Saccharomyces cerevisiae S288C: one gene and its partners. The gene in region 1 interacts genetically with each later gene. Each region holds a gene or a part of one and is shown on either strand. Other genes may lie near its edges.

Region 1 (5,576 bases):
GCCTCCAGAACCTCCTACCGAATTATCAGACTCCTTTAAAGAACTTCCACCGATCAATTCTCGTCAAACTAATTCCAGTTTGGGTGGTATTGGTGACTCTAATGCCTATACTACTATCAACAGTAAGAAAAGATCATTAGAAGATAATGAAACTGAAATTAAGGTATCACGAGACACATGGAATACTAAGAATATGCGTAGTTTAGAACCTCCGAGATCGAAGAAACGAATCCACCTGATTGCAGCTGTAAAAGCAGTAAAATCAATCAAACCAATACGAACAACCTTACGATACGATGAGGCAATCACCTATAATAAAGATATTAAAGAAAAAGAAAAATATATCGAGGCATACCACAAAGAAGTCAATCAACTGTTGAAGATGAAAACTTGGGACACTGACAAATATTATGACAGAAAAGAAATAGACCCTAAAAGAGTAATAAATTCAATGTTTATCTTCAACAGGAAACGTGACGGTACTCATAAAGCTAGATTTGTTGCAAGAGGTGATATTCAGCATCCTGACACTTACGACTCAGGCATGCAATCCAATACCGTACATCACTATGCATTAATGACATCCCTGTCACTTGCATTAGACAATAACTACTATATTACACAATTAGACATATCTTCGGCATATTTGTATGCAGACATCAAAGAAGAATTATACATAAGACCTCCACCACATTTAGGAATGAATGATAAGTTGATACGTTTGAAGAAATCACTTTATGGATTGAAACAAAGTGGAGCGAACTGGTACGAAACTATCAAATCATACCTGATAAAACAGTGTGGTATGGAAGAAGTTCGTGGATGGTCATGCGTATTTGAAAACAGTCAAGTGACAATTTGTTTATTCGTAGATGATATGGTACTGTTTAGCAAAAATCTAAATTCAAACAAAAGAATTATAGACAAGCTTAAGATGCAATACGACACCAAGATTATAAATCTAGGCGAAAGTGATGAGGAAATTCAATATGACATTCTTGGCTTGGAAATCAAATACCAAAGAGGTAAATACATGAAATTGGGTATGGAAAACTCATTAACTGAAAAAATACCCAAACTAAACGTACCTTTGAACCCAAAAGGAAGGAAACTTAGCGCTCCAGGTCAACCAGGTCTATATATAGACCAGCAAGAACTAGAGCTAGAAGAAGATGATTACAAAATGAAGGTACATGAAATGCAAAAGCTGATAGGTCTAGCATCATATGTTGGATATAAATTTAGATTTGACCTATTATACTACATCAACACACTTGCACAACATATACTATTTCCGTCCAAGCAAGTGTTAGATATGACATATGAATTGATACAGTTCATATGGAATACGAGAGATAAGCAATTAATATGGCACAAAAGCAAACCTGTTAAGCCAACAAATAAATTAGTTGTTATAAGCGATGCATCGTATGGTAACCAACCGTATTATAAATCACAAATTGGCAACATATATTTACTTAATGGAAAAGTAATTGGAGGAAAGTCCACCAAGGCTTCATTAACATGTACTTCAACTACGGAAGCAGAAATACACGCAATAAGTGAATCTGTCCCATTATTAAATAATCTAAGTTACCTGATACAAGAACTCGACAAGAAACCAATTACCAAAGGATTACTAACCGACAGTAAATCTACAATCAGTATAATTATATCCAATAATGAAGAGAAATTTAGAAACAGATTTTTTGGTACTAAAGCAATGAGACTGAGAGATGAAGTATCAGGAAATCATCTGCACGTATGCTATATCGAAACCAAAAAGAATATTGCAGACGTAATGACCAAACCTCTTCCGATAAAAACATTCAAACTATTAACAAACAAATGGATTCATTAGATCTATTACATTATGGGTGGTATGTTGGAATAAAAATCCACTATCGTCTATCAACTAATAGTTATATTATCAATATATTATCATATACGGTGTTAAGATGATGACATAAGTTATGAGAAGCTGTCATCGAAGTTAGAGGAAGCTGAAGTGCAAGGATTGATAATGTAATAGGATAATGAAACATATAAAACGGAATGAGGAATAATCGTAATATTAGTATGTAGAAATATAGATTCCATTTTGAGGATTCCTATATCCTTGAGGAGAACTTCTAGTATATTCTGTATACCTAATATTATAGCCTTTATCAACAATGGAATCCCAACAATTATCTCAACATTCCCCCATTTCTCAAATGATAATGCACAACAGACTTAGAACTTTAATTGTAATAATACAGCACAGTCTAGGTGAGTTTTGGACTATCAAAGACTGCGTCATACATATCAGAACATACACAAGTTACATAGTTTTAGTCTATTTTATAGTACACAGGTTTCCCCTCTATTGTTCAAAAGCAGAGTACATCAACTGCAATAGCAACAGGTCATGCTCCTACTTTGCTTTCTTCTTCCTTTACGTCTTCACTAAAGCTCGGCTTTTCCCGATCCATTTCTTCAATTTCCATATTTTGCTCTAGTTGCCAATCTTCCGTATCAGGTATGAACTGGTAGGAATAAATATGCTTGAAAATATCCTGGAAACGATCCCACAGATCCCATTTGTTCAGTTCCCTTTTTCTTAAGTTAAATAATATCCTAAAGTTTAACAGTAGGGAATTATTTGATTGGAAAATTGTTATAAATTCGTTTCTGGACCCCCTGGTGTCAAGGGCAATCTGCAATTCATCTAATATTATTTCGAAATCATCCTTTATCGAAACAGCCTGGTTAATGGCTGAACATAAGACATCACACAGGAGCTTGTTGATACCTGCTAGTTTATCCTCCAGATCTAGCTTAATCTCCACATGCTTTTCTAGATTTTTCTTCTGCGACAGTTTTTTCGCAATCGGATCCATCGTTTTTTCGATTGATAGATCTTGTGGGCCCAACCCAACAATGCTCCAATCTTCATCATCTTCAAAATGATATTTGATTGGCTTAGGTGGTTTAGGTTTCTCTTTCTTTGCCTTTGTTTTTGGATTTGGTTTAGTCTTGGATACTACAACTTTCTTAGTTTTGGTCCTTTGCGGCCTCTTTCTAACAGCCTCTTGTACTTTTTCCTCCTCTTCCTCCTCTTCCTCTTCTGAAGCATCTATCGCTTGTTGCCTAGTCGATCTAGTAACTCTTTTCCTTTTATTGCTATTACCGCCCTCACTCTTTTCCGTTTCTGAGGCGCGCTTCTGACGCTGTCTACTGGAAGACCTGGTTGGCCTTATAGCCTTTTTTTCAGGTTCGTTCTCTTCTTCCTCTTCCTCTACATATTCCTCTTCATCTGGCTTGCCGTAAGACCCATATTCCACAAATTCCCAAATATCAATTCCATTTTTGCCTCTCATAGCCATTTCATATGCCGGTATGAGTTTCTTATTCTTCCGCTGTTTGCCGCTTAGCCACTTACGACAATCTTCGCTTGTTAGAATCTTCATATCCATGGGCTTCACCCAGATATAAGAATCATCGCAAAAAAACTTGACGCAGTAAGTCGATTTCAACGTATCATTTTTACGAAACTTCAGAACGGGAGTGTATATTATAAATTTTTCAGGATTAGCCTCACTCTCACCAAAATCCTCTATATCTTCTTCTTCTTCGCTTTGCTCTCGATCTCTAGCCTCTGATTCCATGTCTGCATCTATATCTTCATTTGCTTTTTTATCACTACCTGATTTGCCTTTGTGGACACTCACAGGTTTGGTCTTGAGGATGTTATCTGGGATGAGTTCATTAGGGATAATCATTGCTGGCCATGCTGAAAAGCCTTTAACTTTGGCAAGGACAATGTCCGTTGGCTGGAATATCGCTTCAGACATTATCGGAGAATGACACGCCGTTCTGAAAAATGTAGTTAACAATTTCTTCGTCAATTCTTACTTTACCAATATTGATATAACGCTTAAAAAACTGGCAGCTACATGCGTAGATTTATTTCACTGTTAACGGGGAGCCACGATATTTTCCGTACACTCGTATAAAAGTATATAACTTACAATACTGGCAATGAAATTAGACCGAGAGGCATTTATATGGTAATGATTATACAACTAAAAAAAGATTAGCATTAAAAGCAATGTAATTAACATTATAATTTTTTTGGAAATGTGTGTATGTGAGTAAAGTATACAAGTTATGTGTGGTTTCTCATATTTTTATATTCTTAAAGTTTTATATTTATATTTTATATATCCGGGGAAGGAGAAGGGGAGATTTGATTGAATCTTCTTGCCTATGAAAGAAAGTGGCAGCAAAATGAAATGAGGCAAAGAAACAAACCAGAAGTAATCGTAAAAAAAAAGGTAAGTGCCGATGACTAAGGTACTTCCTATTCTTTTACCGACATAGGGCTTTTTTCAATATAGAGTAATGTACGTTTTTGTTCTTGTTGTCTATCTTTCTTTAATTGGTACGGAAACAGCTTTTTCCTCTTAATGCTCGTCTATGAATTATATACGGAAATCGATAAGATTAGTATTGGCCTTGTTGCGGTTCTTGAAAGTATTGTTGGTAGGCAGCATTCTGTTCAGCATTCAGATAGGGGGAGGCAGCGTTGGCAAAAGCCTGTTGGTGAGGCTGATGAATGCCGGTGAGGGGTTGTTGTTGTTGCTGCTGTTGCTGCTGTTGCAGTTGTTGTTGTTGTTGTTGCTGTTGCTGTGGCTGCGATTGTTGCGGATGTGGTATTCCTTGCTGTGGTCGAGGATGCTGTGACATTTGTTGCTGTGACATTTGCTGCTGTGGTTGTTGTTGCTGTTGCTGTTGTGGTTGTGAATTCTGCGTGTGATGTTGCTGCTGTTGAATCATTGAGTTTTGATTAGGATTGGCACCGCCTAGCAATTGTGACTTCACCTCTTGTTTCAGCGCGCCTGCCGGTACCTGATCTTGATTTAGATGGCCTAAGCTATTTGCGTGTGCATTCAATACTTGTTGCTGTTGTTGCGGTTGCTGTTGTTGTGGTTGCTGGCGTTGCATATCATTACCATCATCGTCATCATCATCATCATCATCACCGTCTTCCTCCTCGTCTTCTTCCTCATCATCAGGGGCGTTAAGACAGGCCTGGATCAGGTTTCTACCTTCCTGCTGCGTGACTATAGGTTCAAACTTCGGCGTGCTGAAAGTATATACCAAACCTGTTTCTGAAACGACTAGCAACAGGACCTGGGTCCCCGTTAGAACAGAAAGCTCAAACGCCTTTTTCATGATACCGTGCTTCCTTTTGGAAAATGTCACATGGCGCCTTGTTTTATTCTCGATGAACTTAATTTCTATCTTTCTTCTCTCCTTCTGTTGCCCATTATTAGTAGGCGTACCTTCTTCGATGTCTGACATTTTTGCTGGGTGGCTATAATATTGTTGCGTGACAGCAAGTCTTGCAGATCCAAAACTTTTTTTTGATTTTCGCTTCTTATTGCTCTGCACTAATTTTTTTTTCTCTTTCCTTTCCCGTTTTTTTCCCTATAACTGAATCGAAAAAAACAGACAAAACAGCGATTAAAAAAAATGTATCAAAAAAAAAAAAAATTCAAAAATATTATCAGTATAATGAATTAACAAAC
Region 2 (6,762 bases), on another chromosome or scaffold:
GTCTACCAAGAGAATATAAGGTGTTTTCAAATTTGGAAATAAAAGTTTTCAATGATGTTTTGACAAAATCCGTTGGCTCAACCGATGAAAAATCATGGTCAGGATAAGAAGCGTTGAGGATAGCAATCAGATAAGCAAATATTTTGCGGCTTGACGGTTCGTTTATGGGACCAAACGGACCCAAACTTAAATTGCTTGGCCTTTCGTTTATCGAAGATTTTCTTCTTTTGTTAACATTGTTGGTTGCTGTACCAGAACTGTAATTATTGTTCGATGATTTACCACTTTTGAAACTGCTAATACTGCTACTGCTCCTTCTTCTTATCCTCTCATCATTCTTAGAAGAAGAATCAAGAGACGATGAGCTCATAGAGCCAGAATCGTAATTCGAGACTAATTCTTTTAAATTTTGGTCATTTAGCTTGGCACTTTTGGGAAAAGTTGCTGGAGAAGAACCATTAGGTCCAGAATAGTTATTGTTATTACTGCTATTGCCATTACTGTTGTTAGTGTTATTATTGCTATTGTATTCACTAAAAGATATTCTTCTCTTTTGCTCCCAAAAAGAGTTGCTATCCCTCCTATTAGAATAAAATGGCGACGAGCAGGGTGATTGGTTTGTTTCGGGAGCAGCTAGCTGTTGCTGAAGGGTAGCATTGTAATTCTCATTTTCCTGTAAAATAGTATCCAAATGCTGATCAATAGTTTTATATAATTTTCTATCTGATGCAACCGCCTTTGTTGTGAAAATATCGCAACTGCCCACGATTTTACAGTCATTTGTCTCGAAATTGAGAGTTTGATTCACTCTCTCTATATCTAGCTCATCAATAAACTAAGGAAGAAAAGGAGGGTTCAGGTACAATGTTAGTAATTTCGAATAAAGAGCATGGCAGTTTTAGAGTGATAACATACTTTCATTGTCGTGATTCTTTAGGCAAAAAAATCCGTTTGGAGTAATGAGCGGTTAAACTTGTTCTTGGTGAAGTGTGCAGAGTTTCTAAACTTTAAGTAAATGACACTAAGCCTATATTTTTCGCATTGCTAAAGAAACACTGATACATAATGTGTCTACATTTTATATAGCTGATAGCACGTTCTTTTTAAGTTGAATTATCTTTTTTTTCTCTTGTTAAATAAGATGGACAACGCGCTTTCGCTGGCGAGATGAAGCGCCCCTGATTGACAAGCAACTCGTGGAGGCAAGTAATTAGCGACGCTTTACTTTGTCTGATAGCAGTAAATATGTGACTGCATTTAAGAAGTGAAATTATAAGAAATGTACGCTTTAAAAATGATATATGAAGTTACATAAAGAAATGGTAAAAAAATTTTTTTTTCCTCCATTACCGATAATAGTTATATTCCTTTTTTATTAACTTTATCTCCTAACATTTCGATATAATGAGGACCGAATACGGACCAATGAAGGTTGATTAATGCATATAAGTGGCGATAAACATTCTCGAATTCCTCCAGCTCTGTTGCTGCGAATAAACCTCTGGATGCAATCGCATTGCCAGTAGGTGTGGTGGTGGAGGTTTTAGAAGGAGACATCAAAGACGGGCTGATTTTAACGCTAGCAGTATCTGTAGTAGTACTCAAAGTGTTAGTGCTACCTACGTTGCCATTGTTTGTGTTGTAGAGGTACACAAAGTCTTGTTTAACGCGTCCATCAATTGTGCACTCGGACCTGTTGAAGATAGCGTCCTCTAGTGATTTGAATACTCTATTTTCTAGGACACCATAAACTTCACTGAGGGGTTGAGTTTGCTTAGATAACCAAGATTTAGCAAAGGTTATTTTTGAGTTGTCTAATGAAGGCAATTGAGGCCTTCTGGCTTGTTCACAACTACCATTGTTGTCGTACTCCCTGTGAAGATCGTCAATAACTTTGCAAAGATGAACAGCAATAGACATTGTGTTTTTAGTCCACCTACAATTGCCGTGTTCATCTGTTATAATGCTGATAATTTCATTCTTCAGCCTTTTAGTTGAGTATGTATGAATAACATATTCCTTTGTAGCTTTATCCATTGAAGGATCGTTGGCCACCAATTGTTGGAAAAGTAAACGGCAAACTAAAATACAAACAATTTGACGTATATCGGCACGCAAAAGGATCAATCTTGCATGATCAAAAGAAAGCGGAGTTGGGTACTCTCTCACCATCTTCCTACATGACAATAGGTTAATTATACTTCTAATGCAAATATTGTAGACATCAGGGATAGTGATAGAACTTGGATTTCTAACAAGGCCAGCGGTAACATTTTCGTTGAATTTTTTATCAAACCAAAGTAGGGAAGTATTTAAATTCACCCTTTTAGAGGCTATAAGAGTGTTGAAATACTGTTTCTCAAATTCTACAGCATTACTTAACAGAGCTGGCCTTAGTATTCTTATTTGATGATTGGCAATATCCAATTTCATTGTTTCCAAAATTTGAAAAACCAACCTTAAACCTTCTATTAACCTTGTTAAAGAAGAGTCTCTTTCAGCTTCTTTAAATTTGTTGCTCATTTTATCCACCCATGGGTCCCTCATGGGGGCACAATGATGTTTAAATAAATCAGCCAACCAGCCTGACAAGTTAGACATTATCAGAGAACCTTTCAATAGTTCTTGAATGTTCAATTCTGTGTCCAGTACATTATTTATCATCGGAGACTCTTTTTGTGGGACTATCGTTAACAATACATCCCTTAAAGTGTCAAAAAGTGGGACTAGTCTTGACCTGTTATATTGGAATATTTCAGGCCTCTTAGAGTAAACATAAATTTCATTTTGAACATCATTCCAATAGATATTCGCCAATTGTCTTTTTTTATTCCCTCTTTCGCCATCAAGATTTGGCCTGAATTGTAGTAGCGGGTCGAATATTATATCATGTCTTAGTTGTGGGTTTTTCAGAATTTCCTGTAAGTCAATCTCTTTTAAGCCCTGCAAATTTATAGGAGGAAATGGAACAGGCGTTGGAGTAGCCTTTATGTAGTTTATTCTATCTTCCAAAGTTAAGTCAAAGTTTGAGCTTGATAGGAAGCTTTGATTTGTCATTGAAGTGGCAGTGGAATTATTAATGTTGTCATTATTAGCGTTAGTGCTTGCGTTACCTGATATTTGTTGATTTAAAAAAATTGCGCGCTTTAATGAAAGAGGGTTTGAACTGAGAGGATTATTAGAATGCAAATATGGTTGATGATGGTTTCTAGAAAATTTTTTCTTTGATATGCCGGAAGGAGTTGGATGATTTAAAAGAATATTTTGATTACGATAGTATTGATTGTGGGATGATAATTTTCTTAAAGAAGAATGCAAAATAGTGGGTACGGAATGCGACCTCATTTTTTTATTTGAAAAGATCCTTAAAAAGTTAGAAGCATTTCCTGGTGGCTGTTGTTGTGCTGCTTGTTCTTTGTGTGGTTCCGTTGCTGGTGGCAATTGCGGCGCGGATGCAGACGGTGGTTGCTTTGACGACGGTGGTGGGGAGGGAGATGGATTGTTGATATTAGTATAAATATTCTTTGGGGGTATCGAATCAACTTTATTGTTCCTCCTTATTTCTTCTTCATTATCATCGTTTTTCAAGAATTGACCAGTCTTGGTGTCGAACGTCTTGAATATAGTATTGTCCCTGTCTATAGGGATCTTCAAATCACTACTATTAGCTGAATTGCCACTGCTATCGTTGTTAGTGGCGTTAGTGCTTGCATTCAAAGACATGGAGGGCGTTATTACGCCGGAGCTCCTCGACAGCAGATCTGATGACTGGTCAATATATTTTTGCATTGAGGCTCTGTTTGGAATTATATTTTGAGATGACCCATCTAATGTACTGGTATCACCAGATTTCATGTCGTTTTTTAAAGCGGCTGCTTGAGTCTTAGCAATAGCGTCACCATCTGGTGAATCCTTTGAAGGAACCACTGACGAAGGTTTGGACAGTGACGAAGAGGATCTTTCCTGCTTTGAATTAGTCGCGCTGGGAGCAGATGACGAGTTGGTGGAGCTGGGGGCAGGATTGCTGGCCGTCGTGGGTCCTGAATGGGTCCTTGGCTGGTCCATCTCTATTCTGAAAACGGAAGAGGAGTAGGGAATATTACTGGCTGAAAATAAGTCTTGAATGAACGTATACGCGTATATTTCTACCAATCTCTCAACACTGAGTAATGGTAGTTATAAGAAAGAGACCGAGTTAGGGACAGTTAGAGGCGGTGGAGATATTCCTTATGGCATGTCTGGCGATGATAAAACTTTTCAAACGGCAGCCCCGATCTAAAAGAGCTGACAGGGAAATGGTCAGAAAAAGAAACGTGCACCCGCCCGTCTGGACGCGCCGCTCACCCGCACGGCAGAGACCAATCAGTAAAAATCAACGGTTAACGACATTACTATATATATAATATAGGAAGCATTTAATAGAACAGCATCGTAATATATGTGTACTTTGCAGTTATGACGCCAGATGGCAGTAGTGGAAGATATTCTTTATTGAAAAATAGCTTGTCACCTTACGTACAATCTTGATCCGGAGCTTTTCTTTTTTTGCCGATTAAGAATTCGGTCGAAAAAAGAAAAGGAGAGGGCCAAGAGGGAGGGCATTGGTGACTATTGAGCACGTGAGTATACGTGATTAAGCACACAAAGGCAGCTTGGAGTATGTCTGTTATTAATTTCACAGGTAGTTCTGGTCCATTGGTGAAAGTTTGCGGCTTGCAGAGCACAGAGGCCGCAGAATGTGCTCTAGATTCCGATGCTGACTTGCTGGGTATTATATGTGTGCCCAATAGAAAGAGAACAATTGACCCGGTTATTGCAAGGAAAATTTCAAGTCTTGTAAAAGCATATAAAAATAGTTCAGGCACTCCGAAATACTTGGTTGGCGTGTTTCGTAATCAACCTAAGGAGGATGTTTTGGCTCTGGTCAATGATTACGGCATTGATATCGTCCAACTGCATGGAGATGAGTCGTGGCAAGAATACCAAGAGTTCCTCGGTTTGCCAGTTATTAAAAGACTCGTATTTCCAAAAGACTGCAACATACTACTCAGTGCAGCTTCACAGAAACCTCATTCGTTTATTCCCTTGTTTGATTCAGAAGCAGGTGGGACAGGTGAACTTTTGGATTGGAACTCGATTTCTGACTGGGTTGGAAGGCAAGAGAGCCCCGAAAGCTTACATTTTATGTTAGCTGGTGGACTGACGCCAGAAAATGTTGGTGATGCGCTTAGATTAAATGGCGTTATTGGTGTTGATGTAAGCGGAGGTGTGGAGACAAATGGTGTAAAAGACTCTAACAAAATAGCAAATTTCGTCAAAAATGCTAAGAAATAGGTTATTACTGAGTAGTATTTATTTAAGTATTGTTTGTGCACTTGCCTGCAGGCCTTTTGAAAAGCAAGCATAAAAGATCTAAACATAAAATCTGTAAAATAACAAGATGTAAAGATAATGCTAAATCATTTGGCTTTTTGATTGATTGTACAGGAAAATATACATCGCAGGGGGTTGACTTTTACCATTTCACCGCAATGGAATCAAACTTGTTGAAGAGAATGTTCACAGGCGCATACGCTACAATGACCCGATTCTTGCTAGCCTTTTCTCGGTCTTGCAAACAACCGCCGGCAGCTTAGTATATAAATACACATGTACATACCTCTCTCCGTATCCTCGTAATCATTTTCTTGTATTTATCGTCTTTTCGCTGTAAAAACTTTATCACACTTATCTCAAATACACTTATTAACCGCTTTTACTATTATCTTCTACGCTGACAGTAATATCAAACAGTGACACATATTAAACACAGTGGTTTCTTTGCATAAACACCATCAGCCTCAAGTCGTCAAGTAAAGATTTCGTGTTCATGCAGATAGATAACAATCTATATGTTGATAATTAGCGTTGCCTCATCAATGCGAGATCCGTTTAACCGGACCCTAGTGCACTTACCCCACGTTCGGTCCACTGTGTGCCGAACATGCTCCTTCACTATTTTAACATGTGGAATTCTTGAAAGAATGAAATCGCCATGCCAAGCCATCACACGGTCTTTTATGCAATTGATTGACCGCCTGCAACACATAGGCAGTAAAATTTTTACTGAAACGTATATAATCATCATAAGCGACAAGTGAGGCAACACCTTTGTTACCACATTGACAACCCCAGGTATTCATACTTCCTATTAGCGGAATCAGGAGTGCAAAAAGAGAAAATAAAAGTAAAAAGGTAGGGCAACACATAGTATGAATACAAACGTTCCAATATTCAGTTCTCCGGTCAGAGATTTACCAAGGTCTTTCGAACAAAAACATTTAGCGGTTGTAGATGCATTTTTCCAAACATACCATGTCAAACCTGATTTTATCGCTAGGTCTCCTGGCAGAGTAAATCTGATTGGTGAGCATATAGATTATTGCGATTTTTCAGTTTTGCCATTAGCCATTGATGTGGATATGCTTTGCGCAGTTAAAATTTTAGACGAAAAAAATCCATCCATTACCTTAACAAATGCGGACCCTAAATTTGCTCAGCGAAAGTTTGATCTGCCTTTAGATGGTTCCTACATGGCCATAGATCCGTCTGTGTCGGAATGGTCGAATTACTTTAAATGCGGACTACATGTGGCACATTCATACTTGAAAAAAATTGCTCCGGAAAGATTTAATAATACACCCTTAGTAGGTGCGCAGATCTTTTGCCAGAGCGATATTCCTACTGGTGGTGGACTCTCATCTGCATTTACTTGCGCGGCAG
Region 3 (4,726 bases), on another chromosome or scaffold:
ATACCATCTCAAACTTACCCTACTCTCAGATTCCACTTCACTCCATGGCCCATCTCTCACTGAATCAGTACCAAATGCACTCACATCATTATGCACGGCACTTGCCTCAGCGGTCTATACCCTGTGCCATTTACCCATAACGCCCATCATTATCCACATTTTGATATCTATATCTCATTCGGCGGTCCCAAATATTGTATAACTGCCCTTAATACATACGTTATACCACTTTTGCACCATATACTTACCACTCCATTTATATACACTTATGTCAATATTACAGAAAAATCCCCACAAAAATCACCTAAACATAAAAATATTCTACTTTTCAACAATAATACATAAACATATTGGCTTGTGGTAGCAACACTATCATGGTATCACTAACGTAAAAGTTCCTCAATATTGCAATTTGCTTGAACGGATGCTATTTCAGAATATTTCGTACTTACACAGGCCATACATTAGAATAATATGTCACATCACTGTCGTAACACTCTTTATTCACCGAGCAATAATACGGTAGTGGCTCAAACTCATGCGGGTGCTATGATACAATTATATCTTATTTCCATTCCCATATGCTAACCGCAATATCCTAAAAGCATAACTGATGCATCTTTAATCTTGTATGTGACACTACTCATACGAAGGGACTATATCTAGTCAAGACGATACTGTGATAGGTACGTTATTTAATAGGATCTATAACGAAATGTCAAATAATTTTACGGTAATATAACTTATCAGCGGCGTATACTAAAACGGACGTTACGATATTGTCTCACTTCATCTTACCACCCTCTATCTTATTGCTGATAGAACACTAACCCCTCAGCTTTATTTCTAGTTACAGTTACACAAAAAACTATGCCAACCCAGAAATCTTGATATTTTACGTGTCAAAAAATGAGGGTCTCTAAATGAGAGTTTGGTACCATGACTTGTAACTCGCACTGCCCTGATCTGCAATCTTGTTCTTAGAAGTGACGCATATTCTATACGGCCCGACGCGACGCGCCAAAAAATGAAAAACGAAGCAGCGACTCATTTTTATTTAAGGACAAAGGTTGCGAAGCCGCACATTTCCAATTTCATTGTTGTTTATTGGACATACACTGTTAGCTTTATTACCGTCCACGTTTTTTCTACAATAGTGTAGAAGTTTCTTTCTTATGTTCATCGTATTCATAAAATGCTTCACGAACACCGTCATTGATCAAATAGGTCTATAATATTAATATACATTTATATAATCTACGGTATTTATATCATCAAAAAAAAGTAGTTTTTTTATTTTATTTTGTTCGTTAATTTTCAATTTCTATGGAAACCCGTTCGTAAAATTGGCGTTTGTCTCTAGTTTGCGATAGTGTAGATACCGTCCTTGGATAGAGCACTGGAGATGGCTGGCTTTAATCTGCTGGAGTACCATGGAACACCGGTGATCATTCTGGTCACTTGGTCTGGAGCAATACCGGTCAACATGGTGGTGAAGTCACCGTAGTTGAAAACGGCTTCAGCAACTTCGACTGGGTAGGTTTCAGTTGGGTGGGCGGCTTGGAACATGTAGTATTGGGCTAAGTGAGCTCTGATATCAGAGACGTAGACACCCAATTCCACCAAGTTGACTCTTTCGTCAGATTGAGCTAGAGTGGTGGTTGCAGAAGCAGTAGCAGCGATGGCAGCGACACCAGCGGCGATTGAAGTTAATTTGACCATTGTATTTGTTTTGTTTGTTAGTGCTGATATAAGCTTAACAGGAAAGGAAAGAATAAAGACATATTCTCAAAGGCATATAGTTGAAGCAGCTCTATTTATACCCATTCCCTCATGGGTTGTTGCTATTTAAACGATCGCTGACTGGCACCAGTTCCTCATCAAATATTCTCTATATCTCATCTTTCACACAATCTCATTATCTCTATGGAGATGCTCTTGTTTCTGAACGAATCATAAATCTTTCATAGGTTTCGTATGTGGAGTACTGTTTTATGGCGCTTATGTGTATTCGTATGCGCAGAATGTGGGAATGCCAATTATAGGGGTGCCGAGGTGCCTTATAAAACCCTTTTCTGTGCCTGTGACATTTCCTTTTTCGGTCAAAAAGAATATCCGAATTTTAGATTTGGACCCTCGTACAGAAGCTTATTGTCTAAGCCTGAATTCAGTCTGCTTTAAACGGCTTCCGCGGAGGAAATATTTCCATCTCTTGAATTCGTACAACATTAAACGTGTGTTGGGAGTCGTATACTGTTAGGGTCTGTAAACTTGTGAACTCTCGGCAAATGCCTTGGTGCAATTACGTAATTTTAGCCGCTGAGAAGCGGATGGTAATGAGACAAGTTGATATCAAACAGATACATATTTAAAAGAGGGTACCGCTAATTTAGCAGGGCAGTATTATTGTAGTTTGATATGTACGGCTAACTGAACCTAAGTAGGGATATGAGAGTAAGAACGTTCGGCTACTCTTCTTTCTAAGTGGGATTTTTCTTAATCCTTGGATTCTTAAAAGGTTATTAAAGTTCCGCACAAAGAACGCTTGGAAATCGCATTCATCAAAGAACAACTCTTCGTTTTCCAAACAATCTTCCCGAAAAAGTAGCCGTTCATTTCCCTTCCGATTTCATTCCTAGACTGCCAAATTTTTCTTGCTCATTTATAATGATTGATAAGAATTGTATTTGTGTCCCATTCTCGTAGATAAAATTCTTGGATGTTAAAAAATTATTATTTTCTTCATAAAGAAGCTTTCAAGATATAAGATACGAAATAGGGGTTGATAATTGCATGACAGTAGCTTTAGATCAAAAAGGAAAGCATGGAGGGAAACAGTAAACAGTGAAAATTCTCTTGAGAACCAAAGTAAACCTTCATTGAAGAGCTTCCTTAAAAAATTTAGAATCTCCCATGTCAACGGGTTTCCATACCTCCCCAGCATCATACATCTTTTTTCAAAGAAACTTCAAATGCCTCTTTTATGCAAGGGGCAAAATCCTGAAATGACTTAAACTTAGCAGTTTCGTCTTTTTTCAAAGAGAATGGTTGAAGAAGAATTGTTTTGGACGCTTATTGACAATCTGTTGCATTGATAAAGTACCTACTATCCCAGACTATATTTGTATACAAGTACAAAATTAGGTTTGTTGAAACAACTTTCCGATCATTGGTGCCCGTATCTGATGTTTTTTTAGTAATTTCTTTGTAAATACAGGGAGTTGTTTCGAAAGCTTATGAGAAAAATACATGAATGACAGGTAAAAATATTGGCTCGAAAAAGAGGACAAAAAGAGAAATCATAAATGAGTAAACCCACTTGCTGGACATTATCCAGTAAAGGCTTGGTAGTAACCATAATATTACCCAGGTACGAAACGCTAAGAACTTGAAAGACTCATAAAACTTCCAGGTTAAGCTATTTTTGAAAATATTCTGAGGTAAAAGCCATTAAGGTCCAGATAACCAAGGGACAATAAACCTATGCTTTTCTTGTCTTCAATTTCAGTATCTTTCCATTTTGATAATGAGCTAGTGATCCGGAAAGCTACTTTATGATGTTTCAAGGCCTGAAGTTTGAATATTTATGTAGTTCAACATCAAATGTGTCTATTTTGTGATGAGGCAACCGTCGACAACCTTATTATCGAAAAAGAACAACAAGTTCACATGCTTGTTACTCTCTATAACTAGAGAGTACTTTTTTTGGAAGCAAGTAAGAATAAGTCAATTTCTACTTACCTCATTAGGGAAAAATTTAATAGCAGTTGTTATAACGACAAATACAGGCCCTAAAAAATTCACTGTATTCAATGGTCTACGAATCGTCAATCGCTTGCGGTTATGGCACGAAGAACAATGCAATAGCTCTTACAAGCCACTACATGACAAGCAACTCATAATTTAAGTGGATAGCTTGTGATAAATTGAATTTTCTCTGTTTAGTACTTGCCGAATAGTTACTTGTTAGTTGCAGATGCTTTTTGATGACAAAGTTATCAATCTCAATATTAAACTTTTTAGGCTTTCAGGTTTAATCTTTCTTTGAGGGTGTATTAATTTTCATACAAATATTTGATTCATTATTCGTTTTACTGTTACATTAGACCTGCTCATTACATGGAGTAACTTAAGTTTTCTCAAACGCTTGATAGCATGATTTGATGTAGTAAAAAAAAAGGCAGAGTTTCCAAAAAAAATTGTTAATCGACAAAGTTAATATTATGGTGGTAGTATCTCAAATATCTGGATAACCAGATCGTACATCTCTGATAAACAATCTTTGCCACTGCTTTATCCTTTTAAATTGTATTGAGTGCTTCAGTCATTGCAAAATTTTACGAGATTTAAAATTTGTGAACCCGACCTTACCGAGAAATGATGAGCTAATTTTTATAGGTCGACCCTTCTGTCGCTTACTGGGTTGATTATCTTGTGCTTTCTTAGTATCTATCACAAAGGAGACAAAATCGTTGATAAAAAGTGCATCAACATTCCCAGCCAGAAAATGCACATCATAAAGACATGTTATTCAAGAGCCACGACCGTCTTCAATTTATCTTTTATAAAAAACCCTTGTTCTACTGACAGGATGGAATAGATATTAAATATACATTTTGCATTTTTTTTTTTTTCTGTATTGAAGATTTGTATATGAAAGATGTTTATACATCAAATGCTTTGAATAAAGCCATCTTAATTTCAATTTCATGCCCTCCTTCACCGT

What was found. Genes that interact genetically often act in the same process or in processes that back each other up.
Region 2: mutations in IOC4 (region 1) and SOK1 together harm fitness more than expected from each alone (negative genetic interaction), as found in Saccharomyces cerevisiae (2 studies listed by BioGRID).
Region 3: mutations in IOC4 (region 1) and PAU8 together harm fitness more than expected from each alone (negative genetic interaction), as found in Saccharomyces cerevisiae (2 studies listed by BioGRID).

The regions. Positions count from the first base shown.
Region 1 is NC_001145.3:353,644-359,219, reverse strand, and holds IOC4 (Ioc4p), read right to left. Parts: upstream 3,837-5,576; coding exon 2,409-3,836; downstream 1-2,408. Other genes in the region: transcription factor MCM1, read right to left, coding at 4,489-5,349. UniProt on the Saccharomyces cerevisiae protein: Functions as a component of the ISW1B complex, which acts in remodeling the chromatin by catalyzing an ATP-dependent alteration in the structure of nucleosomal DNA.
Region 2 is NC_001136.10:457,183-463,944, forward strand, and holds SOK1 (Sok1p), read right to left. Parts: upstream 4,066-6,762; coding exon 1,360-4,065; downstream 1-1,359. Other genes in the region: RNA polymerase III-inhibiting protein MAF1, read right to left, coding at 1-835, 916-921; phosphoribosylanthranilate isomerase TRP1, read left to right, coding at 4,660-5,334; transcriptional regulator GAL3, read left to right, coding at 6,252-6,762. UniProt on the Saccharomyces cerevisiae protein: High copy suppressor of a cyclic AMP-dependent protein kinase mutant.
Region 3 is NC_001133.9:448-5,173, forward strand, and holds PAU8 (seripauperin PAU8), read right to left. Parts: upstream 1,723-4,726; coding exon 1,360-1,722; downstream 1-1,359. Other genes in the region: YAL067W-A (uncharacterized protein), read left to right, coding at 2,033-2,260.